3 linked regions of the Oryctolagus cuniculus genome follow. The protein of the gene in region 3 purifies or fractionates together with the protein of the main gene of each other region. This does not show direct contact. Links are inferred from orthologs where the notes say so. Each region holds a gene or a part of one and is shown on either strand. Other genes may lie near its edges.

What was found.
Region 1: the proteins of SIK2 (region 3) and PPP2R2C purify together in Homo sapiens (affinity purification with mass spectrometry; 3 studies listed by BioGRID and IntAct, counting the BioPlex papers as one, with this or other methods). This does not show direct contact. The link is inferred for Oryctolagus cuniculus from reciprocal best matches to the Homo sapiens genes SIK2 and PPP2R2C.
Region 2: the proteins of SIK2 (region 3) and PPP2R2A purify together in Homo sapiens (affinity purification with mass spectrometry; 3 studies listed by BioGRID and IntAct, with this or other methods). This does not show direct contact. The link is inferred for Oryctolagus cuniculus from reciprocal best matches to the Homo sapiens genes SIK2 and PPP2R2A.

Annotation. Positions count from the first base shown.
Region 1 is NC_091433.1:3,563,126-3,573,371, reverse strand, and holds the end of PPP2R2C (serine/threonine-protein phosphatase 2A 55 kDa regulatory subunit B gamma isoform), read right to left. Parts: intron 5,836-10,246; coding exon 5,544-5,835; 3' UTR 5,493-5,543; downstream 1-5,492. UniProt on the Homo sapiens protein: The B regulatory subunit might modulate substrate selectivity and catalytic activity, and might also direct the localization of the catalytic enzyme to a particular subcellular compartment.
Region 2 is NC_091433.1:47,866,555-47,876,799, forward strand, and holds the end of PPP2R2A (serine/threonine-protein phosphatase 2A 55 kDa regulatory subunit B alpha isoform), read right to left. Parts: intron 9,074-10,245; coding exon 8,982-9,073; intron 5,584-8,981; coding exon 5,304-5,583; 3' UTR 4,949-5,303; downstream 1-4,948. UniProt on the Homo sapiens protein: Substrate-recognition subunit of protein phosphatase 2A (PP2A) that plays a key role in cell cycle by controlling mitosis entry and exit. Involved in chromosome clustering during late mitosis by mediating dephosphorylation of MKI67.
Region 3 is NC_091432.1:103,679,500-103,690,463, reverse strand, and holds part of SIK2 (serine/threonine-protein kinase SIK2), read right to left. Parts: intron 10,815-10,964; coding exon 10,586-10,814; intron 9,815-10,585; coding exon 9,530-9,814; intron 9,387-9,529; coding exon 9,223-9,386; intron 8,666-9,222; coding exon 8,558-8,665; intron 7,253-8,557; coding exon 7,161-7,252; intron 6,913-7,160; coding exon of another isoform or gene 6,780-6,912; exon of another isoform or gene 6,353-6,779; intron 6,273-6,352; coding exon 5,703-6,272; coding exon of another isoform or gene 5,684-5,702; exon of another isoform or gene 4,326-5,683; intron 4,290-4,325; coding exon 4,265-4,289; 3' UTR 2,947-4,264; coding exon of another isoform or gene 2,914-2,946; 3' UTR 1,994-2,913; coding exon of another isoform or gene 1,836-1,993; 3' UTR 1-1,835. Other genes in the region: PPP2R1B (serine/threonine-protein phosphatase 2A 65 kDa regulatory subunit A beta isoform), read left to right, coding at 1,856-1,993. UniProt on the Homo sapiens protein: Serine/threonine-protein kinase that plays a role in many biological processes such as fatty acid oxidation, autophagy, immune response or glucose metabolism.

The sequences.
Region 1 (10,246 bases), on a different chromosome or scaffold from region 3:
CCCCACACCCCACAGCAGTGCCCCAGCCCGGCCTGGTCACCGCCCAGCACCAGTGCAGTCAGACCGCAGGGAGGGGAGCCTGGGGAACGTGACTCAGCTCTCAGGCCTAGGACCAGGTCCTGCTCGCGGCTTCTCCCTGACCCGGCGCCCGGGCAGTCTCTGCTCTCCCTCTCCATGCCCCGCGCATCCCAGGGGATTCCCTCCTCTGCCTGTTGCTCTGAGGAACACAGGCCCTGGTGGGGACCCTCCCTCCAGGCCAGAGTGACAGGGCCCCCACAGCCCAGCCCCGCCTTGTGTGACTCTGCTGGTTGTCCTTGGAAGAGGGTTCTACCCCAGCTGGCCACTCCCCACCTCCAGGGAAGGGCCCGCCTCTGAGGAGCCCCGCCAGGAAGTGGGGGTGGGTGCCGCAGGTCCCCAGGCACCCCCAGAGCTGGAGCTGGTGGCCTGCTCCTGCCCACTGCCCGGTGTCCAAGCGCACCTGTCCCACTGATCATCAGTTGCTTGCTGGCACCATGCCAGGCGCAGCCCTGGGCCACGGCAGTGGACAGAGTGGGCACAGCCCTCTCTGTCCCGCTGGGCTGCTGGGCGCAGACCACAGAAGCCGCCCCTGCCCGGCTGGGAGAGCAGAGTCCTGTGGGAGGCGTGGGGACTGCCCGCTGGGAGGGACAAGCGCAGGCTGCACCAGGAGTGCGGGCGCAGGGCACGCCGTGTACACAGTCACAGCGGGGCCCTCAGCCCCTCCTTCCCCGGGAGCAGTAGCCCTGGTTTCCAGCTGCTCTGTGGCCCAGCCTCCCCTGCAGCCCCCTGCGGCCAGGGACCGAGTCCCAAGCCATGAGGCAGCTGGGAGGGAGACGGGCACTTCCAGGCCACGCCCCGCAAGGACCCTCTCCCGTGGCTGCCCGGACAGTGACAAACCCCAGGGACCAGGAGCAATGAGTTCAGAAAGGCCTGGGCAAGGCGGCCTGGCCTGGCCGGGGGCAGCACCGCACCTGCCGGGCGTTTTCTGGTGTTTGGGTGTCCACAGGCGGGGCCAGCCCAGGGTCCTCCTCCAGGCACCAGGGAGCCCCCCCCGGGGCGGGGGAGCGTGGCTACTGCCTCAGGAACAGCAGGGAGGCTGGCAGGGCCCCTCCCCCGGCAGTGGCGGGGCGGGGGGAAGTGCGTAGACCCCGGCCCACCCTTGGCTGCTGCATTCCCGCGGCGCTCCTAGGGCTGGCTGGGCCCGGCGGCCACAGTGGTAAGCACACTCGCGCTCAGGCTTGGCGGCAATGTGGGGAGGGGGTGTGGAGTGGCTGCCCGGGGGGCTGGCCCTGCTGTTCACATCAAGCAGGAGGAAGTGAGGCCCCCAGGGGGAGGGGACAGCCCCAGAGCATCACAGCATGGTGGGGGCGGTTCGAAGCCGCTCCCAGCGCAGTCTCACGGCCGCTCAATGCACGGCTGGCCAGATCTGCACACCTCGGCTGCGACCCCGGCCCCGTCCACCTGCTCCTCTGCCGACGTGTTAGGGGTACACGGTCACCGCTCCCACACCCTCCCCCACTGCTCCCTCCTGAGGCCACCTCCGGTCCTGCCCCCCACGTGGCCTCTGGGCACAATTCTAGCAGCAGCAGGTGCAGACGCTGGCGCTTTGCTTCTGCGAAGGTTTGCAGTGACTCCCTTATTTCGAGTTCTGGGAGCTTCACGGTAACCAGGAAACCTCCCCTTGGGGGCTGGGGTCGCCCCTTAGTGGCGGGACTCCCGCCTCGCACCTCCAAGGAGCAGTTCGGAGAAACCAAGGCAGGGAGGAAGGCTCGGGCCCTCTTCCTCCTTCCCGGGAGTGACAGCATCAAGTGCCCACACGCACTGCCCTCCGCCCCTCCAGCTGCCAGATCCGTCACCTTCCTGCAGGCAGCCCAGAGGCCCCTAGGTTCCTGTGCAGTGCACACAGTGCCTGTCCACTCAGGCCCGGGGAGTCCCCGGGGAGTTTCGCTGGGCCTTGCGGCTGCTGGCTGCCCCCAGGGGACTGCACCTGCACCTTGGCTGTGGCTTGTATCTCGGTGCAAATCTGAAGCTGCCAGGAGCTCCGTGTGCCCCTGCGGGGGAGGGGCGCCCGGCCAGTGGCCCAGCGGGATGCTTTGGCTGAGCAAGGGCCTCGACTAACCACCAAGAACGTGGCTCCTCGGGAAGGAGGCCCGGCAGGGTGGGGCGGGCGGTCCTGGCTCTCAGTTGGTGGCCCCCTCCAGCTCTTCCCACAACCCCCAGAATCTGGTGTGACCCCACCCTACTGGGCCTGCTCCCCATCCGCCCCAGTGCCTTTGTGGGGTTCTGTGCCGGCCAGCTTCCTCCGGACGCCCCCGCTGCCGGCTAAGGCTCTAGCTTTGCAGCCTCTGACCCATTTCCCACTCACCGTGAGCTTCCTGGCTCCCAAAAGCCTCGGGGCCTTCACCCATGTCCGCTGCGCCTTGCTGGGTTCCCATGTTGGACCCCTCGCTCTCCTTGCAAGCGAGGGTACTAAGTCGGTGCCATGCACAGGTCGCCGGCCCCTGCCCAGGTGCCAACACTTACCCACAAGGCCCTGCTCAGCCAGCGGCCCCAGGCCCACGCTGCATTCTGGGGACACAGCAGGGAGCCAAAGGCCCCCTGACGTCACATCGGCTGAGTAAGCAGAGCTGGGGGCAGCAGGGAGCGGGGGGCAGGGCCAGGTGAGGCGCCGGCTCCCGCTCGGGAGGCTCGGGGGAGCAAAGGGTGCAGGGAACCCACAGGTGAACCAGCACCCGCGCACACCTCAGCCACGGCAGCCCGGGGCCGGGCCTCTCTGGTTTCTGTGTGAATCTGGGAGGCGCAGGCGCAGTGGGGCTGCCGGGGCAGCCGTGGAAACGCGGTGCCAACACGTGCCAGCCATGAGGCCTCCGGCTGAGTGTTCAGCCTCTCCGGCCCTCGGTCCCTCCTCGGGGCGTGGCTGTTTGGAAATCCCAGTGAGCCAGGCACGCCTGCGTCAGCACGGATCAGAACAGGGAGCCTGTCCCTTACTGAGTGCTCACGGGCCAGGCACAGGCTTCACGGGGGCCATCCAAGCCCCTCTCGGCCCCCTGGGAACTCGTCTGCCCTCTCAGCAGCGCCACTGCTCAGAGCTCACGGGTTGGGGCTGGCGTCGAGGCCCAGCTGCTCCAGCCGCCTGGTCCCAGACCCGGCTGCTCCGCTTCCCATCCAGCTCCCTGCTAATGCGCCTGGGAAAGCAGCAGAAGACGGCTTGGGCTTGGGCCCCGGCATCCACGTGGGAGACCGGATGGAGTTCCAGGCTCCTGGATTTGGCCTGGCCCAGCCCCAGCTGTTGCAGCCTTTTGGTGCGAGAACCAGCGGGTGGCAGCTCTGTGTCTCCCAGGTACTCTGCCTTTCAAACAGACTTTTTTTTTCCCAATGAAGGAGAGGTTAGAGTCGCCGCAGGTGCTGGAGCAGCCGAGCCGTGCGGAGCCAGGCAGCCAGGAGAGCCCGGTGCGTGCCTGGTACATGCCACCAGCCTCCCCGTGCCCGGGGCAGGCCTCGAAAACACAGACAGCCCCGGGAGCCCCGCTGTCCATGGAACATTTGTTATTTTATTGGAAAAAGCTGGTATTCACATATTTATAATCTTATTCAACAGTTGGATAATTTGTGAGACACCAAAGACAGACTGCACCTAGGAGAGTCCAAAACGGTCGATCTCCACCGCCAGAGGCCCCGCCGGCTTCGTGGGGACCAAGTGAACCCTGCACGGCACCAGCGCGCACGACCACGGGCGCGCGCCACCTCCCGCGGCTTCCGGGGTCGCCCCTCCCCCTCCGATCCATGTTGTAGGATGCACCATCTGCTTTGCATATCTGGATCTTCCCAGAGACCCAAAGATACACGTTTCTCCGGGGAAGAGCTCTGTACTGTGTTTCTTTTTTTTTTTTTTTGGCTTGCTACCCAAGTTTTCAGACGGAAAAGCCCTCCTTTGCAGAGCTGTAAGACCTGGGTTTGGTCGGTCTGACAGCACTCGAGACAGCCGCACCACACAGCCAGGCAGTCACGTGGGGCCCTCGCAGCTGGATTTGGCTTCCCCAGCTTTCGACACAGCAGACCCCACCCCTGGGAACCTCTTTTCAAGGGGGACAAGCCGTCAAAGAAGCTTGGATTGTGACGTTGAATCAGAGCAGGTGTGTGCACGGAACACTGCCCAGGCCACCTGGGCCGTCCAGTGAGAGAGAAACAAACATTCATTCATGTTGATTGCAAAAGAAAAAAACACCAATGGAGCCATTGCTGCGCGGGGACGCCCCGGCCGGCAGCCAGCACACATGCGATCTGTGCTCCTACACACGGGGAAGTACGCCGCCGCCCGGCAGGCAGGGGCTCAGTGGGGCCCGGCCGGCCTTGGGGCCATGTTGCACGTGGTTACAGAAAGACACAAACGGAACGGACGGAGGCGGCCCGGCTGTGCTCTGCTCGCCGAGGGTTCTGCTGGGCCCCAGAGCAAAGGCAGCAGGGCGTGGGCTGGCGTCTGCCGGGGCGGGGACCCTCTCCCCACGTTCTCTGTGGCAGCGGCCCCCAGGACTGCACGTGGGCCTTCTGGAAGTGTCCTCGAGTGGTCCCGGCACCAGGTCCTCTGGGAAGCCATCCATGGCGCTTGGAGAGGAGCTGCAGGTGCATCTGTGGCGGAGCGACGCGGCCCGAGCTGGGGGCCAACTCCCGACGCCACCAGACAGAGCGAGGACCTCCCCACCTCCCATCCTGCCTCTCGGCTGGCCCCGGCCACCGTCACACCGGCCCCGGCCCAGCTCCCGAGACGGTGGGCCGTGTGCCTTCCAGAACTTTCGTGGGACGCTGAGCCCACGCCAGGGCCTGGACGGGATTCCACCTCGGGCAGCGCGGAGCCTCGGCCACCTTTCATGGCTGGCCGGAGCAGAGGGGGGAGGGGCTGGCAGGGGGCGGGTGTGTGGGGGGTGGGGGCGGCGTCTGTTTCCAGGAGGTGCCCAGTGAATGCTGGTGGGGACAGGAATGCTGCAGAGCGAGCAGCTGGGGGGGCAAAGCAGCCTGGCAGCGGTGGGGGGGCGGGGCTAGAGGGGGCGGAGCACCAGGCCTGGGCTGTTCGCTCAGTGGGGTGAGACCCCCCTCCAGGACACAGCGCTGCCCCTGGGTCCTAGGTTCCTCAAAGGTCGCTAAAAACCAAAAAAAAAAAAAAAATGAGCCTGCACCTCCAAGTTCTCTGCGTGAATTCACCATCCCAAACCAGATGTGGGACAGCCAGCCGGGAGCCGGGGCCAGCCGCACCATGGACAACGTGAGGGACCTGGCTGGCTCGTCTGCGCTTCACTGGCGTCCCCAGAGCCCGAGCCGGGCCCAGCCCCAGCTTCCCTGGCCGGGGGACCCTGTGGGAGTGAGGAATGAACTAACGATGTGGGAAAGACCGCTGACCGCGACGGGGGCGCCCTGCCCCTGACTCCCGTCCATTTGAGATCTGTGGCTATGAATCCTTCCTTAGAAAACGAAATCCAGACAGCGACCGCCGACCGACCGCGGCGGGGCGACCCCCGGGCCGTCCCGGGGCCCTAGTGCACGTCGGAGTTGACTTTGTCCTGGAAGATGTACAGGTTGTTGGTGGCGGCGATGGCGATGATGTTCTCGGCCGGGTGCCAGGCCGTGTGCAGGATCTTCTTGGTGAAGTCCAGGCTGTCCACGCTGATGTCGTCCCGCCGCCGCTTGCCGCCCACGCACACGCGCCGCGGCTTCAGCACGGCCCTGGGCTTGCTGCTCTCCCGCGAGGCCTCCAGGGTCACGTCTCGCTTGGTGTTGCGGTCGAACATGCGGAAGAAGTTGTTGTAAGCCCCGGTCATGATGACGCTGCGGGGGGGGGGGGGGGGACGGGCAGGCGTCAGGGCGGGGGAGGACGGCCAGAGCGCCCTGCCCCGCCCGTCAGGTGACCTCACTGCACACACCGTGGGGCCAGGAGCTCCGCCCCAAGCACAACCAAAATACTCCCCTTAACCCCTGGACTTCAACGACTGTGCCAGCCCAGAGACAGCAGCACAGACACTGGCTGGCCCCCTGGGTCACCAGATCCCTCCCCAGCCCCGCACCCCCGCCTGCAGGGGAGGCAACCCCGGTGCGCTGCCTGGCTGCAGCGTGCCCACTTCCCCAGGCAGAGCTCTCGGTTCTCTCCCTGCTGGAGACAGGGCCTGGCGCTCTGCAGCTGCAGGGGGCCTTGTAGTGGGGAGAGGAGGAAGGGGTCCCTGGGGAACGGGGCAGGGGGCCCTGGCTCAGTTCTCCATGGAGGCGCGAGCCAGCCAGGATGCCCCCTTCCTGTCCAGATGCTGGACGGTGCCCCTGAGGGCGGCCCTGGATGGCATGGGACCATGTGGGCTCACAGGGGCTGTCCCCAGACAAGAGTGACCACAGGTGACCCTGGAGCAGTGTGGTGCAGAAGAGGCAGGAGTGTGCAGGCCCCGTGCAGGCCAGGCCAGCCAGGGACGGGGCTCCCATGAGGCTCAGAGGCCCCAGGCAGCCCTGTGTCCCGGGCTGACGGTGGTGGGAACAGAGACACCATCAGGCAAGTGCGGTACCCGAGGCCCCAGCTCCTAGTGGGCACCAGGGGAGGCGGGCCCTGGGCCAGCCGGGCTCACGGTGGCTATTGACCAGGCCGGGCCCCGCCCTCCTACTCCGGATGGGAAGGGACCCCCAAGGTCCAGCCCTGCCCCCTCACAGAAGGGGCTGGGGAAGTTTTGGCCGAGGATGCCCGCTGGGGGACGTGAGGCTCCATGTCAGCCCGCGAGCTGCCCGCCCGTGCCATGAGCCTTGGTGGAGCCCACGGCGTGCAGCGCTGCCTTGGCTGTCACCTCCCCTTGCCATGAACCGGCTTCGTCTGGTGGAGGGAATGAGAACGCCCCCCCCCCCCCAACACACACACAGTGGCTCTGCTCCTGGACATCCAGCCAGGGCCCCCGCAGGGGCAGAAGCACCCAGGGGCCGGCTGGGCCACTGGGGAAGAGCTCCACATGGAGGCAACTCAGAAAGGTTCTGGAAGGTTCTAAGGCACCAGCCAAGCCTGAGGGGGGGAGGGAGGGGCCAGAGGAGGAGGAGGGAGAAGGAGAGTTGGTGGGGGCAGATGGGAGAGACGGAGGGGGAGAGAGAAGGAGGAGCGAGAAGGAGAGTTGGTGGGGGCAGATGGGGGAGAGACGGAGGGGGAGAGAGAAGGAGGGAGCTGGTGGGAACTCTGCGTGGGGGGGCATGGGGACAACGGACTGAGGGGACACACACGTGGCCTCTGCGCCGCCCGCCCTCGGGTGTCCTCTGCTTCCTCCACTGGCTGACCCCTCCCCGAGGGCAGAGGGCTGCGGGTGCAGCCCCGGGTGGGGGGCCCGAGGGAGCTGCCGCGGGGTGGGCAGGGCCTGTCCTGCCTGGCTGGGCCTCGGTGTGGGGGGCCCAGGACCCTGTGAGGACACCAGTAGCAGAGCCCACGGCCGCGGGAGGCTGCTCTGGGCGCAGGGACACCGGTGCGTGCCAGGATGGCCGGGGGTGGGGCCTTCGCGCACTCGCCACGCCCAGCTCAGCGCCCGCCGGCCCACGGGGCAGCAGAGGGCCGTCCTGAGCCATGGTGGGGGGCTGTCTACACAGCATCCGTCTACACAGCCTGGAGCGTATAGGGGACCATCAACACAGCATCTGTCCACACAGCCTGGAGCGTGTAGGGGATGTCTACACAGCATCTGTCCACACAGCCTGGAGCGTGTAGGGGACGTCTACACAGCATCCATCTACACAGCCTGGAGCATGTAGGGGACGTCTACACAGCATCTGTCCACACAGCCTGGAGCATGTAGGGGACGTCTACACGGCATCCATCTACACAGCCTGGAGCGTGTAGGGAATGTCTACACAGCATCCGTCTACACAGCCTGGAGTGTGTCAGGGGACGTCTACACAGCCTGGAGTGTGTCAGGGGACGTCTACACAGCATCTGTCTACACAGCCTGGAGTGTGTCAGGGGACGTCTACACGGCATCCACCTACACAGCCTGGAGCGTGTCAGGGGACGTCTACACAGCATCCATCTACACAGCCTGGAGCGTGTAGGGGATGTCTACACAGCATCTGTCCACACAGCCTGGAGTGTGTAGGGGACGTCTACACGGCATTCATCTACACAGTCTGAAGCGTGTCAGGGGACGTCTACACAGCATCCGTCTACACAGCCTGGAGTGTGTCAGGGGATGTCTACACAGCATCCGTCTACACAGCCTGGAGCGTGTAGGGGACGTCTACACGGCATCCGTCTACACAGCCTGGAGCGTGTAGGGGACGTCTACGCGGCATCCATCTCACTTGCAGCAACAAGTGTGTTTCTTGCTTCCTCTGAGGTTAAAGGTCAGGGCGGGCGGGGACGGAGCGCAGACCTTCCTCCTGCCCTCCCTGCCACCCCTGGAGGCCTCCCCCCTCTGGCAGCCCTGGGCCAAGGGCATCCCTGCCCGGCTCTCTCACGACCCCTGCCTGGGGCTCCTGGGGCTCCCGGGTGCCCTGACCCTCAGCTCCGCCCTCAACACCCACTTTCTCCCCTGGAACACGCTGCCCCCGCTGCCCAATGCCCTCCCACCCGCCGCGTCCAAATCCATGTCCAGATCCAAACGCTGCCTCGTCAGAGGGCGTCCAGGCCCCCCAGCCCCCCAGCCCCTCCAAGCCCCCTGCCCGGGGCATCCCGCTGACGCGGCCCCGCCCCCCGCCTCGCATGCCTGCTGCCTGCAAACCAAGGCCCACGCGTGCAGGCTGGCGGCCACACCCTGGGAGGGAGCGCCGGCTGACCCCGGCTCAGGGCACGACCCCAGCGTGCCTGCCTGGCCAGCAGGCGCCGAGGCAGAGGAGCTGCCCGGGGCCCCTGGACGCCCCGCTCCTTGCCCATGCTGGTCTGGGGCCAGCGGGGGGCAGCGGCCAGGCTCCCGCAGGACGCGGTGCACGGGTGGCCACTCCCACCTCTGCTGAGCGCCAGCGCCGGGCGCCGCGGGGCTAGAATTTCCCGAAACATGGGCAGCGGCTTGCTCTCTGCTGCCCTCAGGTGGCGCGGTCAGGCACTCCGGCTGCGTGCACACCCCTCTGCCGGCCACCCTCCGCCCTGCTCCGGCCCCCCCCGGGGGGGGGGGTGTCCCATCCACCCCTGACACGAGACCGGGAGGGAGCCGGCCCCCGGGGGGGTGTGAATCAGATCCCGCACACTGAGCGCTCAGAGCGGGGCCGGGCTCAGGTCACCGCCCTGCCGGCATCTGGGAATGCCAACGGCCACTCCTGCTTCTGGTCTCGGTGCCACGGGGCAGCGCCTGCTTAACCAAGGGAAGCGGAAGGGGACAGCAGAAGGAGGAAGGACGCCCGCCCCGGGGCACGGGGCTGGAGGAGACCACCCCTCTCCCCCGCCAGCAGGGGGCAGGCAGCCCCTCCCTTGCTCTCCGGGGAGCAGCTGGAGCTGCACCATGCCGGCTGTGCTCTGGAGTGCCGAGTGCAAGTCAGCACAGTCACGGGCAGCCCGCACAGCTGCGCCCCCACGTTTCCCTGGCCCAGCAGCAGCCCCCAGCCCCGAGCTCTGGGGGAGGCCAGACCCCACCCAGCACTGCTGTCTGCCCCTCTCTCAGCGGGACACAGGGCGGCCCTCTCCCAGCCCCCACTCCGCCTCTGCAGGTGAACAGCAGGATGCTGGCTGCTCTGTCCCCAGCCTCCTGTCCCCCCGGGCCCCCTGGCCCATGGAGCACTCTCCTGCCTCTGGCCTGGGCATGCAAGCTGCGTCCACGCTGCCTCCAACGGTGGGCGTGTGACTCACAGAAGGCCAGTCGGATCCTTCCACGAGGCTTCGACTGGACCCTGGCAGGGGGCCCACCTGGGGTGGTCGTCCAGGAGGAGAGGGCTGCAAACACACCACGAATGACCTGCTCCCACACCACGGGCCAGCGAGCGCGTCACAGGGGCGGGGGAGACGGCAGACAGGCTCGGCGGAGCCCCCGCGGCCAGCACAGACCCACGACCTCGCCCCCCGGCATCCACGAGGCCCACCCTCCCAACGCCAGGAAGGCTGGAGAGACTCACAGCGGGAGGGCGGCAGGTGGGGGATGGGGACAGGGTGAACGGGGTGGGTGGGGGATGGCGACAGGGTGAACAGGGGGCTGCTGGAGTTGGGGGAGGGGCACAGAGAGGCAGAGACAGCAACGGGAGCCTCACGTCGTGCTCGGGAGGAGGAGGTGGCACAGCCCACGCCTTCTAGAAGGCTCGGCAGCCATTG
Region 2 (10,245 bases), on a different chromosome or scaffold from region 3:
TAGTCAGCTTCCTACTAATGCACACCCTGGGAGACAAAAGAGATGGCTCAATTTGCGGGGCCCTTGCTGCCCACATGGGGGACCTGGATTGAACTGGCTCCCCTGACCCAAGGCCATTGCTGGCATTTGGGCAGTGAGCCAGAGAATGGAAACTTGTACACACTCTGCCTCTCAAATAAAAATTACAGTAGTAAAAGGCAGTGAAAGGGAAAAATAGAAAGACTGGAAATATAATCAGCAAAAATGTTTACCTACATAAAATACTTTAAAAAATCTACTTAGGTTAACTTAGCAATGTGTCAATACAGAAACTCATATATTAAAACCAATTGTATTTCTGTACATCAGTGAACAATTTGAAATAGAAATTTGAAAAATAACATTTACAGTCACACACAGAAAATAAAGTACTAGCAATACATGTGCACGATCTGTATGCTAAAAATAAACAGCAATGTTAAGAGATCAATGACATACTTAGGCAGAGCAATGTGCTGTCATGAACTGGAGGACATGTATTAAGATGTGTACTCAGGGCCAGCGCTGTGGTGCAGCGGGTTAAAGCCCTGGCCTGGAGCGCCGGCATCCCATATGGGCGCAGGTTCTAGTCCGGCTGCTCCTCTTCTGATCCAGCTCTCTGCTATGGCCTGGGAAAGCAGTGGAAGATGGCCCAACTCCTTGGGCCCCTCGCACCCATGTGGGAGACCCAGAGGAAGCTCCTGGCTCCTGGCTTCAAATCGGCGCAGCTCCGGCCATTGCGGTCATCCGGGGAATCAATCAGTGGATGGAAGACCTCTCTCTGTCTCTGCCTCTCTTTTTAACTCTTTCAAATAAATAAAATAAATCTCTAAAGAACAACAACAACAAAGAAGATGTCTACTCTTCCTGAATTGGTCCATGGATTCAGCACAATTGTCATAAAAATTTAAGCAGAATTTTTTGAAGTCATAAAGCTGATTCTGAAATGTTTATGTAAAGGCCCAAGCACTAAAATAGAGCAGTTTGGAGAACAAAACTGGGTTATTCACACTACCAGATTTCAACACTTAAGTTACAGTAATTAAGACAGTGTCATACTGGTGACAGCATAGACTCACACACACACGGTCAACTGATTTTTGACAAAGGTACCAAGGAAAGCTTCAATTTACTTGTGGCACATACACTTTTTTATATATGTCATATGTACAAACCCAGATGGATCACAGACCTAGATGTAAAGAGAAAAACACAAACTTCTAAAATTAAATCTTCCTGATCTTGAGTTAAGCAAGTTTCAGATGTCACCCAAAGAATAATCCAAAAACTAAAAATATTGACAAAGTGGGTTCATGAGAATTATGAATTTCTGCTTCTCAAAAGGCAATGTTGATGGGTGGGCATGCAGCCTAGTGGTTAAGCTGTTCATTGGGGAATCATTTTGGAGTGCCTAGGGAGTCCTGGTTCTGTAATAAGGGTTCTAGTAGTTGGGGTTCCAGCCACTCACATGGGAAAATTGGATTAAGTTTTCAGCTCCTGGCTTAGCCCTGGTTGTTGGGACTTTACAGGGTGGACCAGTGGATAGGACCTGTCTGCCTCTCAAAGAAAAAAAAAAGCACTGAAGGAAAAGGTAAAAGCAGACCTTATTTTGGAAGAAAATGATGGCTAATTCTGTGTATTTATGATGGAACTTTTGAAAGGGAAATTTGACATTATGTACCAAATATGAAATATATCCATATACTCTAATACAGCAATTACATTTCTAACAATGTATCCTAATCATTTTACACACCAAAATTAGGTTACGTTCACTATTCTAATATTTCTGTTTACAAAATGAAAATCAGCCTCAGCTAATTACGGAACATGCAACATCAGGCTGTGTTGATAAGCAAATCTTGCTTACAATGAACACCTCATTTAGGAAACCACTCAAGATGTTTAAGTGGTGAAAGAGGACATTAAATAATATGCATAATTACACTTTCTGTAAAAATTACAAGCCCAAGAGCAAAAAAAAAATAAAATAAAATAAAAATGTGACTGGGAGTTTTATGTTGCTAGAGTATCCCACTAGGGTAGCTCATCTGTTTCTGATGCTTTCCTAGGAAGGTCTGAGCACGAGACCACACCTGGCATCCGAGCTCCTCCTCCATCACATGGTCCTCACTTAGTCCAGGGTCATGTTGAGCCGTAGCTTTATTTGGGCATATATGAGTATGCACACTTTAGATATTCCTTTCAGTCCCTTATTTGGTCTTTAATAATGAAAACCATTCTCAAATTATCTCACAGATGCTGTTAAGACTTAACCATTGCCCCCTAGTGGGAAACTCTTTTAACGTAGCATGTAGCTACTCAAATACTACTAAGAAGCATACATGTTGAGTAGAACATTAAAAAACTAAAGCAGAAACAAATACTAGTTTTTCTCCTTAAGCCCGTTCATGTTCATAAAATCCTTCCTTTTGGAAGGAAACTGAGCTTTGTAGTGTCTTGTGTTTGACAGACACTGTGCTATGGAGTTGATTTTCTAGATTACTAATCTTAACCCTTGAAGTCTTTTAATTCTCTCAAGGTAGTAGGTTAGTCTAATATCATTATTCAGTAACATGTCAAGACAAAACTCAATTACAAAAGATGTTTAGCATTTGAGACTACCCCAACACTTCTTAGATCCACCAAAGTAATTTGTTACAAAATACTGCCAACACACTAAAATAGGAACTGTTTTGTTTTAAGGAATATCTCTACCCAGAACTCACATTTAAGGTTTAACAGACTCCTAATTTTAAAGGAAAAGTACATGGATAGCTTTTTTTAATTCCAAGAGACTGAGGGCTCCATAATCTTCTTTCCCGTAATTACTAGTATATAAAAGTGTTTATAAGATTTGCTTTTTAACTATTACTATTGCCCAGCCACTAAGTAAAGATCATAGAGATTAACAGAATGAGACTTCTCTTTCCTATCATAATCTTTTAAAAAGGTTAAGAAAGGACAGAAAATGTTTATTAGTGACAAGAGAACAGGAAATACAAGCAACTTGACAAGACTAAGTTCATTCTAAGTATAATTTTTATTAATAAAAAGATTAACCATGACCATATAAAATGAGTGGCTGGGCTCGTAGTTTGCTACACCAAAGAAATTTGAAAATGAATACTTAATGTTACAATTTATAATAGCATACCTTATAGAAGCATTTCACTCAAATATATAAAACTATCCCTTAGTGTAATGGGTGAGAATTATCTTAGCTACTGATCAATCAAAAATAAATTTCCAAGAGCTATTCAGTTATGTTATATCAAGCATACAACCCAAGTGTAGGGAAACCACGACCAAAACAGATGTTCTGGAGAGTTGCTCCATCAGAAAACACAGTATCACTACTTGATACTTCTGGCAGGGGAATATTCCACTTACAAGTTAGTATGAAGAATAAATAGCACAAACTATGAATATACCAATGATCCCAAAATAAATTAGAAAAAGTGCTGTTAAAAATTATCAGACATATAATAATCAGTGTTTAAATACAAATTCAGACTTGCTAAGTCCCAGAGACAGTAATTTTATTACATAAAATTTCTACTGCGTGCTAAAAATGTTAACTTACAAGACATAATATTTATATAAGTGTAGAGGGAATTATGATGAAATATTTAATCAAATTTGCATCTGAACAATAGGTAGTGGACATATAAGAAGCATTCAGTCCTCTAAAATTCAAGGTTGTTATATTATTGCTCAACCAAAATATACTACCATTCTCTAATAATATAAATGCCTGCTCAATGCATCTTTTAAAAATAAAGTCCATTTTTTCTCCATTAAAGCTCTTCAAGACTGACAAAGGTATATTCCACCTATTAAAAATAGGGACACTCTTCATCTTTGGATAAGGTATCACCACTTAGGGAAAATGTAGTCATACACAGATTACCAAATTTTATTTATAGGGCCAGCTGTGGGGAGTCCAGTAAGCAGTTTTTTTTAACACTGTACCTTTAAAATTTTGTCTTTAATACAGCTTTGGAAAATCAAAAATAGAAGGAAAATATCTATGGTAAAGTACATTTCATTCTGCTTTGATAGTAATAAAATACAAAAAAAGTAGTGCAGTGTCAATTTGTATTAGATCATTTGATGTTAATGTTATGCTGTAAGACTGAATGACAAAAAAGTTTTTGTTAAAAACATTTTAGTCTTTGACTTAGTATTTAGTAAGGCAAAAAAATCAAAGCACTGTAAAAAGTCATTTTAAAATGAAGTTCTACAAATTTGGATCCCATTTACAACAATTTAACAGATGAGTTAAGTGTTGATACAATGTATCCAATACCCTCATAACTACAGTAAAAAGTCTCTAGTAGCATTTATAGATTATGAAAACCTTAATAATACCAACATATATTTAAAACATGTTCATACAGAACCAATACCCCTCCTTTTCCATGTAAAAGAACACTTGATAAAAATAATTAACAAAAATACTAATAAAATAATGGAAACCCATTTCATTTCACGGTGTCCAAAAGGGTATGTCACAAAATACTGGCTTAAAGAGGTAGATTAAAAAGAAAAAGAAAACCAGATTCTCCATTCTTTGTCACTTTTATTCAGTAGTAGTTTTTTTTTTCCTTATTTTCAGTGCCAGACATGGCAAGGAGTGATTACAGCCAACTGTTATTAAAACATTTGTTCGCAACATACACCCCCTTTACCACTAAACCCCAAACTGACTCATTTTGTGTGCTTTCGTTCTTTTTTTAATATACCACCACCAAGTCGGGTGGAGGGGGCAAAGGTAAAAGAGATGAGGGGGAAGAGTCCAGGAGGCCAGAGAGGAGGAATGCTACAAGCCACAGTAAGAATGAGCTGTATTTAATTTAAAAAAGGGGGAGGGAGGGGTGTACCCCACAATGATACAGTAATGAGGATACACAATTAAATCCCATAGCATGACTGAAGGCTTTCACTGTGTTTGACATCATCACAATGGAAGGCATAAAAAGTGGAGTAAATCAATGTTGATACAGTCCAATCTAGTCCATTAGGCAAGATGGTGCAAGAAGTCATTTAAATTAAAAGTGCCCTACCCTTACCTAAATGGCTAGCAGACATGGAGAACACCACAGTGATGAATCCACAGAGCTTTCTCCATGTAGCTATATAAAAATGTGTTGTCAAATGGCACACTGTCAAACACTGGAAAGGGGCACCACAATGGACCTCTCTCTTTTATAGGTACGAATGCTAGATTTCAACTATCTCAACTAAGCAGGAAGTGGGCTCCTCTGCTAGGAATGCCAACACTAATTCACTTTGTCTTGAAATATATACAGATTGTTTGTGGTAGCTACAGCAATGATATTTTCCTTGGGGTGCCAGGCTGTATGAAGGATTTTCTTGTTGAAGTCTAGGCTGTCAACGCTTATTTCATCTTTCTTTCGCTTGCCACTCGCACAGACTTTCCGTGGCTTCAACACTGTGCGAGGCTTATTGTTTTCCCGTGATGCTTCTAGGGTTATGTCTCGTTTTGTGTTCCTGTCAAACATTCTGAAGAAATTATTATAAGATCCAGTCATGACAACACTGTAAAAATAGACAGAACATTCAGTCAAACAAAGGAACAAGAGATTGTTTTTAGCAGAACAATTAAACCTAGCGTGATACTACACAGAAAACAGCTACTTAAAGCAGATTTTAACAGACAAGACTGCTGACACCAACTCAATGACTGGAATACACCTGAGATATTTTACTTTTTTTTTTTTTTTATCAATTACTCCTTTAGACGACTACCAAAACTATCAAGAGAAAATTGAACAGTACCCTCAAATAAAATGTCTTAGAAGTGAATTGTCATGATTGCATTTTCTGCAGCTGTAGGCAACATCTATGCAATTCTAAAACCAAACTGCATGAAACAGCTGTTAAGAAACCAATGCTGGGGCTAGTGCTCTGGCAAAGCAGGTAAAACTGCCACACAGAGTACCAGCATCCCATTTGGGTGCTACTTCGAGTCCCGGCTGCTCCACTTCTGTTCCCTGCTCATGAGCCTGGGAAGGCAGCGGAAGATGACCCAAGTCCTTGGGCCCTTGCACACACGTGGGAGACCGGGATGAAGCTCCTGGCTTCAGATTGGCCCAGCCCTGGCCACTGTGGCCAATTGGGGAGTGAACCAACAAAGTTCTCTCTTCCTGTCTCTGCCTCTCCCTCTTTGTGGCTCAGACTTTCAAATGAATAAAGGAAGGAAGGGAGAAACTAATTCTTTCTAATTTAAACTATAAGCTATTTAATTTGTCCCAAGGCCTGGTTCAGATAATCACATTTTATGAATGCTTATAATAAAATCTATTCCTGAGACTATTAAGAAAGTAGCATGTAATATTTTTTAACAGAAAATAATTTGTACCACTAAGAACATTTTAAGTAAGTATTTTTATAAGTGTGAGTTGAAAAGGGTGCCAAATTCCTAGCCTGCCCAAGACACTTTCTTGTCAGTCTTATTTGCTCAATATTTACAAAACAGCCTCATCAACCAAATTTGACAAAAATAAAATCATTAATAACTCAGGAAGGGCCTGACTGGTACTACTACCATTTACTATCTCCTTTCCACATGGCTCAAATCACTATTGTACTATGTATATTATGTACACAAGTTATCTATTAAAAACAAATGATTTTCATCTACTCAACAGACAATTTTTAACCAAACTCAAATTGGTACACGTCCCTACATACAATAAACTCTTATTTTCTTAAAAATGATTCACTATGTAAATCTGTAAGGTTTTGATTAGGATGCCTAGTCTATCGCTGAAACATTTTTTTTTTAAGAAAATATTTATTTATTTAAAAGGCAGAGTTATAGACAGTGAGAGGGAGAGACAGAGGTTCTTTCATCCGCTGGTTTCCTCCCCAAATGGCTGCAACAGTCAGAGTTGGGCCAATCTGATGCCAATAGTCAGAGCCTCCTCCAGGTCTCCCACGAGAGGGCAGGGGCTCAAGCACCCGGGCCGCGTCCTCCATCACTTTCCCAGGCTGTTAGCAGGCAGCTGGATCAGAAGAGGAGCAACCGAACCAATGTATGGCTGAAACTTTTAAAAGTTAAATGTTTCAAGTTTTAATATCCTCTAGAACACATAACATCATGAAACCAGGATGAATCTACTGTATAAAGTAAGCATCTCTACTTTAAATGTAGTTTTAAAAGAACTCCAAAATGCTGCTTTCTTTTACTATTTTTTATCGGAACATAGTAAGTGGTACATGTTGACATTTAAAAGACTGAAAGAAAGACTTATTACTACTTCCATAAGGTGTCAATATCTAGAAAAACCGAGGACCAGTGCTGTGGTGCAGTAGTTTAATCCTCTGCCTGCAGCTGGTACCGATCTAGTCCTGGGTGCTCCTCTTCCAATCCAGCTCTCTGCTAAGGCCTGGGAAAGCAGTAGAAGATGGCCCAGGGACCAGTGTTGTGACATAGTGGGTAAAGCTGTCACCTGCAGCGCTGACATCCCTCATGGATGCCAGTTTGAGTCCCAGCTGCTCCACTTCTGATCCAGCTCTCTGCTATGGCCTGGGAAAACAGTGGAAAGTGGTCCAAGTCCTTGGGCCACTGCACCCATGTGGGAGACCCAGAGGAAGCTCCTGGCTGCGGACTGGTGCAGCTCCGGCCAATGTGGCCATCTGGAGAGTGAACCAGTGGATGGAGGATTTCTTTCTCTCTCTGCCTGTAACTCTTTCAAATAAATTAATAAATCTTAAAAAAGAAAAAGAGAGAGAGAGAGAGAGAGAGAGAGAGAGATGGCCCAAGCACTTGGGCTCCTGAACCTGTAACTATACCTCTTAAATAAGTAAAAAAAATATTAAAAAAAAAATCTACAAAAACTGGTGCATAGTAACACAAGTGAAATATATCTGCTGCCCAAATATTTTAAGAATAGTTCAACAATAGGATAGTAACTGAACCAAAATTTCACCATTTAAATTGTTGGTATGTCGGCCGGCGCCGCGGCTCACTAGGCTAATCCTCCGCCTAGCGGCGCCGGCACACCGGGTTCTAGTCCCGGTCGGGGCGCCGGATTCTGTCCCGGTTGCCCCTCTTCCAGGCCAGCTCTCTGCTGTGGCCAGGGAGTGCAGTGGAGGATGGCCCAGGTGCTTGGGCCCTGCACCCCATGGGGAGACCAGGAAAAGCACCTGGCTCCTGGCTCCTGCCATCGGATCAGCGCGGTGTGCCGGCCGCAGCGCGCTGGTCGCGAAGGCCATTGGAGGGTGAACCAACGGCAAAAGGAAGACCTTTCTCTCTGTCTCTCTCTCTCTCACTATCCACTCTGCCTGTCAAAAAAAAATAAATAAATAAAAATAAAAAATAAATTGTTGGTATGTCAATGTGATTTATCTGGTCCTTAAAACATTCTTAAAAATCTATAAATTCTACATATTCTCCTATCTGCTAGTGAAAGAATGCTTCACTTTTATGGACCAGTATTGCTATACTAAACTAAGATTATTAAATTTATTTCAAGGAATCTCGAAGGAAAAAATGAAGTTAGGACTTTTAATTTATGTCAACCTAAAAAAAAGTCAGCCGGGAGTAGGTGTTGCAGCAAAGTAGATTAAACCACTGCTTGAGATGGCCATATCCCACACTGAAGTGTGAGGTCAAGTTTAGACTCCTTCACTTCCAATTCAGCTCCTCACAAACAAGCCTGGGAAGGAGACAGAAGATGGTCCAAGTGCTTGGGTCCCGGACATCCATGTGGGGGACTGGGACGGAGCTGTAGGCTCCTGGTTTCAGCCTAGCCCTTTCCTAGCTGTTGTGGTCACTGGGAAGTAAAAAAGTGAATGAAAAATCTTTCCCTCTCTGCTTTTCAAATAAATAAGTCTCAAAGAAAAAGCCCTATTTTTTGTGACTGGCAACCATACCAGGAAGAATGCAATAATAAACCCCTTTTCTCTAAGTTTAAATTAAAAGCAATTACCTGTCAGATCCATTCCAACAACATTCAAATTTGTCAAATATGCAGTCATTTTCATACAGTGAACAAAGCTTACTTCTGAGGTACTCATGCACCTGAGGAAAAACACAGATATGTAACATATATACCTGAGCTTACCTCAACACATTTATCTACTTAATTTAGAGAAGTATTTTTAAAAAGCCCTTATCTTTACAACAAAAAAGGGCTTAATATATGTAAACACAGTCCTCCTCTCTCATTAAGTCTCAATCCTCTCAGTAACAGAAATGTGCCTTTCAAAGAGGCTGCAAAATTTTCCTCCTAAATGACAGGGAAAAATTCCCTTCTTAGTATGGCACATGTAACCCGTTGTAAGCCTGAACAAAACATTTAAGATGGAAAAAATTAGAAGGTACAGATATGCACCTCATAAAAGAAAATTACAGCACCATTTGACTATCACTTCTTGGTTTTAAGTCTTTTAGCTGCTGATAAAACTATGAATACCATGCTTACTAACTTCCAGAATACCATTTCCTGGGCATAATTTAACTGAGGACTGTGCTTTTAACTGAATGCATATACTTTCCATAACATGACCATGCCCTGGCCGGGTGATAAATTATATGGACACCCTTGGTAGGCACCATTAAAAATTTATAGCATCACTTGATATTACTTATAAAATGTTAACAGTCAATGAAATGTACTTTATCTTACTATTACTTTTAACTGAAAGAGATCCTTAAAAAGTAACGCTAGGAAAGAATAGGTACCCCTTAAAAAGCTGAGAATTCTCTATTCTTTATGAAACAACCTAAACTAAAATTTTGGATGTCCACTTTAATTATAGTAGAATGAAACAGACCGTGTCTATGTGACATCAGGTGAAAATTGGTAATACAGAGGAACTCCAACTCATGTGGAATTAGGATTGAATGTGAACATGTAATACAAAAAAATTAATAAGAATGCACACAGTACAAGGTTTCTCACCAAACTATTGAAGGGTAGAAAGCTAAGATTCCAGTCAACTATTCTCAATGGCAACAGGTTGGTGGTGAGAATAACTTGGAGATGTATCAATCTTGGCAGTTACACAAATGTACTTTGAAAACAAAGCAGAATTTTATCTCATTGCTTTTGTTTCAATGTAGCATTTACTTTGAAATTCCAAATAACATTAAAAAGAATCTTGAGTGGTTTATGCTTATCACAGGAGATTCGAAAGAAACTTCATTCTAATTTTATTGAGATACTAACACATTAAGAAGATATCACCTAT
Region 3 (10,964 bases):
GAAAACAAGTTGTTTTTATTTTAATTCAAGAGGGTTGGAAACATAAAAACAGTACATTTTCCTTGCAGAAAATTACCCTATTTAAATTGCCATTTGGTACAAAGATCATTTATTAAACTGCATTTTAGGCAATTTTCTAACATTGAGTGACGGGCTACAATTTGATTTTTTTCCCCCCACATTGGTGCTATTATGATTTGCATTCAAAATACCAAAGCTATTGAACTCACCAATTTTTTCTTAGTAATTAAAAAAAAGCACACAGAAAAAAATAACTACAATTAGGTTAATTTATCAAAAGTAACTCTTTCACAGACCAAACATCCACCAACACCTCCCTCCTCCTTCAGAAACAAGCAATGATCTTGCCCTTTCTACAAAGTGCAAATATCCTCTCTAGATTTTAAAGTTGGACCCCCAAAGAGAAGCAAACCTCCTTTCTCTCTGCCTTTCCCTCCTTCAGAGGTTTTGATGAAGGCAGATTTTTTTTTTCCCATCAGTAGCAGGAAGGCTACTTCCTTGACCGAGCTACTCGCTACTCGTGGCCAGGCAGGCATCTCACAGCCAGAGGCAAGTCCCGTCCCTGGGCTTACAGGTGTAACATTCCAGTTAGGGGTCCTGTTTTTCAAGGATGTGGTTTTGTATGTCTGTTTTTAAAGCTCCTCCCTCCTTACCCACATCTGGAAAGACAACCTCTCCCATTAGAGCATGTTCTTTTTCTAACCCTAAAGGTGTCTAGAAGACTCGCTGACAAGGACCGTAAGGTCGTGGTTCCCCGAGCAGCGCCCTTCCTGAGCTGGCCGTGAGCTCAGCTGCCTGGCGGTAGAGCAGGCTGTGTCCTGCCGTCAGGCGGCCGTCGGTAGTTACTCTAGCGTGCAATGCCTTTGACAGGAGCCCGAACACCTGTAGTTGCTGGACGCGAAAGGCCAGCTTGTCTATGGGGTCTGTCGCACACAGCCTTGCTGAATGGATGCGGGGGCCCCCTGCACAGCGGCAGTCATCACCTGAAGGGCGTCTCTGCCGAGGCAGGGGGCTGCCACGTGGGGGGCGTGGCCGCGCCTGGCAAACATGGGGGCTTTGTTTATACAGCTGTTCGCCTATGCAAAGACTCAGCTGCCACCGAGCAGGGAAAGAGAGTAAGAAGCCAGAAACCCAATCAAGATGCCAGTCAGCCCAGTCCCGGCCCTGCGCTCACACGCGCCTGACCTCCGTGAAGCACGTCAGCTAACGAGAGCCCTGCCTCCCCGGGCCACAAAGACAGGGACAGGATCTCTCGACTGCCGCGCGGGGTGGTTGAGGATTAGGAGAGGTCACTTGGGAAGGTGCTCTGTTCACTGGCGGGCAGGCGGGCCGGCTGGAACTCTCGCCGCCCAGGTCTGTGGGCAGGGCTGCGGCCCGGTTCTTAATCTGCGCAACAGTATGTGCTGACTCTGCCAAACGTGTTGAAATCTGCTCCGATGAGAGGTGGGCACGGGATGTGATGCAACCAGGACAGCCAAGAGTCTTCTAGAACTGAACAGGCCACACCTTAACTGGGGGGGGGGAGGGAGTGGTAAAAAGGGAGAGGGCACTGGGAGATTAGACTCTAGGCCCAATGGGCCTTGAAAGGCCACTGACTTTGTCTATCCTGCCGCCCTCAGGGTGGCAGAGAGCTTTGTACTCGTTTCCCATCCTGTTAGAAGGGAGGTACGGTTTCTTACAACTGTTTTCTGTTCCGTTTAGAAAGTTCTTGCTCTCCATGCATCACTCTTGAAGTTCTAGAAAACATTTCCAGAAACAAAATGATCAAAGATGCCTGCCTAAACAATGATTGCAACTGACTACCTGTTCTGCAGTTTTTACCTTTGATGTCTAGGCACAAAGAGACCGAACGGCGCGGGTGGCTTCCAAGGAGGCAGTAGAAGCAGCCCAGTGTAGGGGTACCCGTGCGGCAAAGGTCAGCCCCTGCAAAGGGATTCTGCAACTATCCACTGGGACCAGTGTTGTCAAATGACCTACGTTCTGTCTCTAGAGGAGGAACGTGAAAGTTACTTGCACTATCAGTTTTCTTTACGCCTTACAGGGAGCTTGAGTGTAACTGTCGATAGAAGTTTTAAAACGTCATCCAAGGCAGAAAAACTCTGATCCCAATATATTTAAGAACCTGGGGCTTCCGCAGAGGTTGGAAGACCCTCACAAAAGCAGCAGCACTCACTCCGTCCAGGTCACCTAGCCAGAGGCTGTTTCAACGCCCTCACTCCAGGGACCCTAGACCAACTGTGGCTAGAAGGCGGTTCTTACGGCCCTTCATTCTTCTGCCGGTCACCCAGGCACTCTCCAGCTGAGAACAACCCCTCCTCTCAACTTGGCAGAATTCTGTAAATCTCTCTGCCACAGACTCTGAGGACACCCAGTGTGTGGGAGAGGTCGGTCCCCTGACAAGTCCCTTCTGTAGGGGCCTGGAGCTGACGGCAGGGGTGGGGTGGTCTCCCACAGGGTGGTCCTTTCTCCCTCCCCATAAGGGTACAGGGTGCCCCGTTCCTGTAGGGCTCAGAGCCAGGCAGGAGCACAGGAGTTGAGGGCTGTTCTGTCATAATCCCAAGCTTCTGACGCACGCCTGCGGCCCCAGGACGTGGTGTAGACCACTGAGTTCTCGATTCTGGGGAGGCAAGGTCTGATGCAGGGAGGAGGGGCGTGCTCACACTGTGGCACTGTGGGTCCTTCTGTCCCGTCTCTAGTCCTCCCAGTGACACCCTTGCGGTAGATTCTGGGTGGTGGGTGCAGGAACCGCTGGTCCCTTCCCTGGCCTAGGGTGGCAGGTGGGCAGAAGTGGCGAGGGGAGGGCTGGGGCTGGTCAGTGTAGCTTACTAGGAATTTAGAAGTGGGACGGCCGCCCCCTTTCTGTTGTGCTCACATGCTGTGTTTGCCTTACAGGGACCAGCATTATCAGCTGCATGTAGATACTAGAGACACACTTGCCCAACTGGAAATGCAGAACTAGTGCATTTTTCCCAAAGCAGAGACTAATACCCCTGGATTAAAAAAAAAAAGAGAGAACATACACAAAAATAAAAAAGTACCACACATATTGCACTTTTTGCTGGATGAAATTTTTACCTCGCATTTATCTCACCAAAGTCTCTTCAGAGGAGCCTGGTTTACAAGATAATAAAGCAAATGATTATTATACAGTAGTGTACACACTGCTAACATGAAACAGACTGGAAAGCAAGTCAGTATTTCGTGTAAGTAGAGTGGCGTAAGCCGCCTTAGTGTTGCTACGGGTTTACGAAGAGCAAACTGCTGGCAGCTCCCAGCGGACAGCTGACTGACACAGAACCAGTCGCCTCTCCCCCGCTTACGTTTCAGCTAATAAAGGTGGCTGCAGAGTTTCCCAATTTCTGCTTGAAATGAGCTAAACAAACCGGGAGCTCAGAACCCAGCCTCCGGCCTGGTCTGCCCTTCTGCAGGCCAGTGTCCGCCATGCCTCCACTCTGCTGACTGCCACAGGCCTGGCTACTGCGCTTGCGTCCTGCTCGCTCTGGGCCCTTCAGCCTCCCAGCACTCACTCTGTCGGCCTAACTGCCCTGCCGGAGTTCCTGGGTCTCCTGGGCTAAGGAGCGCAGCCTTGGTGGGGGCAGCCACGTATGCCAATCTGTGCCATTCCTGCAGTTCTGAAATGAGCGGTCCCATTTTCAATCTGGAAGGCATTCTAATTTTTAAATATTACAGCACTTCTGTAGTACATTTTGGGAAAACATCCTCCTTCAGTCTAAACAAATCAAGCCGTTTTATAACTGGCTTATTTTGCAAAGACTTAAAACAGATTAGAGATCTTAATGAAATGATCTCTTAAATGAAATGAAGTTCTCTATTTCATGACACCATCCATCTTAAGCACAAGGAGGAATAAACAACCCATAAAAGGAACATAATTCATCCTTCCTGGATTTTTACTGCCTGTTATCAAATCACAAAAATGACGGTCCCCCCACCCCCACTGCTTTCTCCTGCTGAGTCCTTGAGTCCAACTCCAGGCAGAGCACCTCAGCAAAGCATCCTGGCACCGGTGGCCACCGTGAGGCACTGTCCAGCTGGCAACAAGGACTGCTCAGGTCACCCACACTGGGGGGGCCAGAAGACTCCTTAGGCTTGCCATGCTCCCCTCACCTGTCTGGACACTTACTACAGAGGAAAGGCAACTTAAAGGTGTTTTCTAGATGCAGCATCAGTGGAGTAGCTCTCTTCTTTGTGCTTTAAGGAAGACGCTTTGTGCTTAACGCATTCATCTGCTGACAGGACAAGCCATTCTAAAGGATAGAAATTAATAGTTTTTATAAATAATACTGGATTTGTAACACCTGGGTTTTAGTCTCCGCGTGACAGATGACTCATTACTTCTAGGTATACAGGAAATTAGCTGGAGCATCTAGTTTTCACTTCCTATGATGAATGGACTAAGGGCTGGGTTCTACTAATAATGTCAGGGGTTTGGCAGATGATCTGCTTAAACGGTTAACACATCTGTGGTTCTCTGAATATTGCTGTGAATACTTGAACATTTCATTACAAGTCAAGATTTTAAGGAAATTAATGCTGATTCCCACATGGTGGAAAACAAACTCTGAAGTGACTTTGGATTTAGCCTTGACATAAATGCAAAACCGGGTTTCTACAGAAAAGAAAGAATTAAAGCATGATCTCCGGGAGAAAGGCACAGCACTACCACTTCACATGGGACATCAAAGGTCATTTTTGTGTCATTATGGTTTCTAAGCCCTATATGAAACTGTCCAAATATACAAAGCTCAGGAAACTATTAGCAACATAAGGTGTAAAGTCAAAGGAGTTATTACACTGCAGAGAGACCAGGGATCCTCTGGAGACCAACTGGCCCAAGCCAGAAGTCTCCACAAGAGACTGCAGGAGCAGCCCGCCTGCCCTGGCCCAGGGCGGGTACTCTCCTCGCCTCGGCCCCCACTGCAGTGGCTCTCCTGACATCTCTGTAGTCCTCAGTGTAACCCAGCGGCCTCTTCTGAAGAGGTGTGTCACCTGCTTCCCAAAGGAAACGACTGCCCGGCTCAGGGGTCAGCACCAGCTGTTAGTGGTCCCGGAAACAGAGCTGATACTCCACTGCTTTGTGATGGCCTTGGGGACAACTTGCATTAGCAGCTAAGAACTTAAGATGACAAAATACAGCTTTCCTTTATTTCCTGCACATCAAATTCCATTATGTATTCTTGATTTGCCTTGAAGCAGTATGTTTGTTGCTTGGCTTCAGTGAAAATATATTGCCTTTTTATTTGCCCTATTTATAAATGCAATAGCACATCTTTTTCTTGCTTTGACCAGGGTTTCCCTCAAGAATGAACAGGCATAATTCTGCATAAAACCTAGATCTGAATGTTGTCATCTCATAAAAACATCTGTTGGTACCTCCCTCAAGATCTTGCTCCACTTGACCTAAGGGCATGAGCTGCAGCCTACAACTAGGTTCCAGCACCTGCCGCAGAAAACTGTGGCGGGACAGAGCCAGGAGGAAGCAACACCCACCCCAGCCAGGCCCTCTGTTTCCAGTTGGGTGACTTGATTTTTCCCCATTAGGGAGAGGGCAAGAAAATAAGCTTTACATTTAAAAGGCTGGAATAAAAATAGAAACACACAGTCTTCCTTCACTGGACCCACCTCACTTCCTGGGCTGAGATTAATTCACCAGGACATACCCATTGTGTTGTGGATCCACAGCGTCCAGCATTTCACAATCAAAGAGTCCCGGTAACTCAGAGAGGGCTAGGGGGTCGTAGCTGGAGGGATTCTCTTGCAGTCCAGAGCTCCTGGGACAGTCTGTCCCTGGGAGGCTGCTCTGTTGGGCCCCGTCCACGGGATACTGACAGGCAGCGGGGTAGTCTGGCACAGGAGCAGCAGCACTGGGCAGCTCGCAAGTCTGATAGGAGAACTGTAAGGGCGCTGTAGCAGCTCCTGGCTGTTGTGGTGGCGGTGGCGGTGGCGGAGGTGGTGGCTGTGGCGTGGAGGGCAAGGGCTGCAGCTGCATCTCCTGGTACTGGCTGAGAAAAGGGCTGTATTGCATTTGCTCGGAAGAAGGCTCCAGGACGGGACTCAGGGGCTGGGTCAGGCTGAACGGTGGGGGCTGCTGGGATGGTGGCGGAGTCTCCTGGTGGGGCAGGGGCAGCTGCTGACTTGGCTGTGGGTAGGATCTCTCTGCTATCTGCATCTGATTAAAATATGCCTGCAGCTGAGACTGCTTCTGGAGGAAGAGCCGTTTCTGCTGGAGCCTAAAGTGACACATCAGAAGGAAGAGTCACATGACGGCAGTTTGAACATACACAGGGACTTCCAAAACTTCATGGAAAAATGGAATTAAACAGCAAATTTATTTTAGTGCAAAAAGTATCTGAAATCCATCCATACAAAAAGCCTTCAAAAACTTCATGGAAAATTTGTATTATGAAACAAACATGCATGAATCTCAAAAATGTTTATGCCCAAATAAACCTAACTGTTTTTTCCCAAACCAAGCTGTTTTTGAAATGCTCCCGTGAATGCAAGCCGGGCACCTTCAGGCCCCACTCCTCTCCTTCCCATGAAAGGAAAGGGTGAGCGGGAGTAGGAACCAGTCAGACTGGGTTTCTTAAACTTCATCTCATGTTTTGTTCCCTCTGGTTCTGACTGACCCCTCAGTGCTAACCTGAGCACAAAGGCATTTTCTCTAAGACTTTTTTTCCGCATAAAGTTAGAGGCTGATTTCCCACCCATGGTGGGCAGTGGTCAGGCGATGAGGCCTAGACCTCTGCAGGTCGATGGATTCGGGGAATTCTGTCTTGGCCAAGCTGCTTCAGGTGAGGCCTGGGGACGTTCTCTGTGGTCTGACTTAAATTGCCTGAGGCCACTGCTTCTGACCGCTCAGGTCTGGTCCTATCCCAAAGAGGAACCGATGGAAGAAAAGGAAATCAATGCACATTTTAAGGCCATTTACACCTGACGAGCCCAAACTCCATGGACCCAGAATATCCTCACAGCAATCACGCTTGAGAAGCCTGTGGGCCTGGCATCAAAGCCTGCTTTCCGGGTGGATGTAAGCACGAGGGGCAAAGGATAACACATGCAGCAGTCTCCAAGCTTCCACAAAAGGAAGCGACTTTTTCGGCCAGAGGCCCTCTCACCTGTGTTCCTGCAGCTGCTGTTCAAGGCTCCGTGGTGGTTCTTTACAATAAAGCGGACAGGTGTTCTGAGCCTTTGACAGGAGGCCGGGCTTCTGGAAGAGCGGAGAAACAACACAATCGTGACAACATGCTGTCATGAACACTCAGTCATCAGACTGCTTCTGCCTGGACTGTGAATCCAATTGTGCCCTCCAGAGCCCATACGGGATGAAGAGACTGGCACCTGCCCATCAAGACCCTGGGAGAGGGCCGGGCCAGCAGGTGTGGGCTGCCTCAGATCTAGCACACTAGTTTTCCACTTCTGAAACTCCTCGGATTGTGTGAGAGGGGCCGGTGCCATGGCTCACTTGGCTAATCCTCTGCCTGTGGTGCTGGCATCCCATATGGGCTCTGGGTTCTAGTCCTGGTTGCTCCTCTTCTGGTCCAGCTCTCTGCTGTGGCCCGGGAGGGCAGCGGAGGATGGCCCAAGTGCTTGGGCTCCTGCACCCGCATGGGAGACCGAGAAGAAGCACCTGGCTCCTGGCTTCGGATCGGCGTAGCTCTGGCCATAGCGGCCATTTGGGGAGTGAACCAATGGAAGGAAGACCTTTTTCTCTGTCTCTGTCTCTCTCTCTCACTAAACTCTATCTGTTAAAAAAAAAAAAAAAAAAAAAAAGAGAGAGAGAGAGAGAAAAGTAGAGTTAAATTTGGTAACAAGGCCCTGGCACCTGCTGAATGCATGATGAATTCTTTATGGGATCTGTGTGTGTTATATATCTTTAAAGATGTTCATGCTCCAGTGTAGAGGACTCAAAACTTTGTGGTTATGAGATTTTGATTTCTATATTATTCATTAAGAGTTTGTTTAGGGGGCTGGTGCTGTGGTGTAGTAGGTTAAGCCTCTGCCTGCAACACTGGCATCCAATATGGGTGGCAGTTTGAGTACTGGCTGCTCCACTTCTGCATCAAGCTCCCTGTAATGGCCTGGGAAGGCTGTGGAAGATGGCCCAAGTGCTTGGGTTCCTGCACCCACGTGGGAGACCCGGAAGAAGCTCCTGGCTCTTGGCTTCTGATGGGCCCAGCTCTGGTCATTGTGGCCATCTGGGAAGTGAACCAGTGGATGGAAGATTCTCTCTTTCTGTAACTCTGCCTCGCAAATAAATAAATCTTAACAAAGAAGCCAGGTCTCCCATTCTTACCACTCAGTGTCTCCCAGGGCCTGAGGACAAATGCTTTCCCACTGCCGGCACAGACCCTAACATGTTTCTAGAAGTGCCGAGTCAAACCTACCTGCCTACACAGAGGGAAAGAGCCACCCTAACTAAATGCCAGGCCTGCCAGGCCAAGCAGGTTTCGGCCGTGCAGAAGCAGGTGCTGGATGAACAAAGTGAGCCGAGCAACAAGGGGGAGGGTCCCACCTGGAGTCTGTGCGGCAGGTACTGGGTCTCCAGGCTTTGCCGCTGGGAAAGCTGATGCACACTGGGAGGCAGCGGCGGCACGCTTTCCTGCTGCTGAGGACCGTCCTCCTGAGAAGCAAGAGGGTGACACCTGTGCTTAACTCGCCACGTGCAAAATGTTCCCATGCTCAGTGTAAGTGCTTCTGCAGTGTCCAAGAGAAATCCTAACTGTGAGACATAACACTCCAAGTCTTGACTACTACAATATCCCTGATGCACTAAAAACAGACCCCAAATAAAAAGGATTGGAAAAATAGCACTGCTTACTGTATTTTTAGCATGAATAATAATGTGACAAATCACATCACAAGTAGTGGCAAGAAGCTTCTCCTTTGGGTGACTGACGTGGATTCTTTTGTGTGGGTGTGGGTGGTGCAGGGGAGTTCAAGGGAGACTATGAGTCACCCACATACGGCTGGCTGGCGGGTGTCTGGGCCTCTAGTGGACACTTGGAGGAGCCTGGCTGGCTGTGTCAGTGGCAGGTGGTGGCAACAAGGAAAGCTTTCTGGTGTGGGTTTCCCAGAAGCACCTGCCTGCCCAAGACGGCAGGGAGCGCTCTGCGTGAACACAGTGCACGCTCACGCTCTCCTCTCCGAGCCATCGTGGGAAGAGCTCGGGACACCCACCTGAGGGCAGCTGCTGGCCAGGTCCTGGAGCTGAGGCGTGGCTGAGGCCAAGCTCGGGTCTGTCTCTGGTCCCATGTGTTCATACAGCAACTGCACTTTGTTCAGTTCTAGAATTCCTTTGGTTCTAGCCAGATTCTGAAGATGCTGTCTAAATGCTACAATTCCTGAAAGACAGTACAAAGACCAGCAGTTCAGATAAAACACAAGGCCTGTTGGTGCTCACTTTGACGAGGTGACAACTGCCCCCTCCCCCCTCCCACAGTCCTGTGACATTCAGGGCTTGAAAGGCCGGGGAGAAAGCTGTCACCTTGAGTGAGGGAGGTGTCTGACGCCCGGCGGCCCTCCCTGAAGCTCACTGGCGACCTGTTGTGGGCCTCTCGCTTCTGGGCACTCAGGGCTTGCATGGCCGGGTTGGTGGGCCTCAGGCTGATGAAGGGAGACGGCATACGGGCTGAGGGCTGATTGGCTAACATGATGTCCTTCAGGGAAGGGTTGTCCTCCAGAAAGTTCAGGTCCCTCTGAACAGACCCCATATCATACTCCGAGTCCACGCTGTCAAGGGAGGGGTTGTCACTCACGGAGAAGATTTTCCCTTTTAGAGAAAACAAAGCACATGAAACCAACAGCAGCAGCATCTGAACAGGGCACAAGCGCCCCAAGACAGCCACATGTCCTTCAATTCACAGCAGACGTCTTTTTAGAACCGTTTAATCATCTTGAGATTCTGTGGGGGAAACATTCTAGAAGCTGCACCCATAAGATCTCTGCTCCCAAAGAGCCAGAATCCCTGATGAATCACACGCCACTCGGATGACTCCTAGGAGTTACGTGGGACTCAGAGACATTTCATTTCCGTCTGTGGCTGCTGAGCAGGCCTTGTCTTGGAGCCTGCTGAAGCTGCTCCGTAAGGGGAGCCACAGACTAAAGTCTGGGCACTGCCGGGATCATCCCCACTCCGTGGTGCCTGGAGTACGAGATAGTGCTGTGTGTTGGTAAAATGGCACAGTCTTATCTACGGCGCAATCTGCACCCTGACACCATCCTAGGCTCTAGCCCCCGCCGCCATGGCTGGAAGCCAGGTGGTCACATGGCCCAACCACAGGTGTCAGCTCCACCCCTACCCTAATGGGATTCGCTGCTTCTACTTCCCTGCCCACCCCCTGGCAAAGGTGTAACAGAACCTGTTCCTGAACACATGGCTCTCTCTCCCTGTCTTTCTTTCGCTCTCTTTTCCTTCTTTACTCCTTCCTTCCGGTCTGTCGGGTTTCCCCCACCAATAAACCCTTCCCCTTACTCTGGTGTAGGGTGTGTTTTGTGGCGGCCTTACACTGAAGCTTAGCCTGGTGCACCTCTGCGGTCATACCTGTCCCAGGCAACACCACCAGCTGATTGGTCACTTCTGACAGCGTGTGTCGTCTCTGCCCGCTGCGTGTAGACTGAAATGCTTCAAAGGCATGGCCGGGGTCTTCTTCAGCCTCTCCTTCTGTCTCCAGCCCTTCGTCGATGGAGGTCTCCATCACATTGCTGGGCAGTGACTGGCATCCCTTCCTCACCAGGACGGGAGGCACGGGGTCAAGCAGACAGCCGTTCACCTGTATGTCAGGGGTGTGAGAGGAAGCCATCAGCTGCGGCTCTGCTGACACACCCGGAAAACCCACAAAGGAAAAAAGTGCCATGTCTCGTAGCAAATGAGAAATTAAGTAAAAATATTACAGATGTACCCAGGTTAGAAGTTCAGGCAA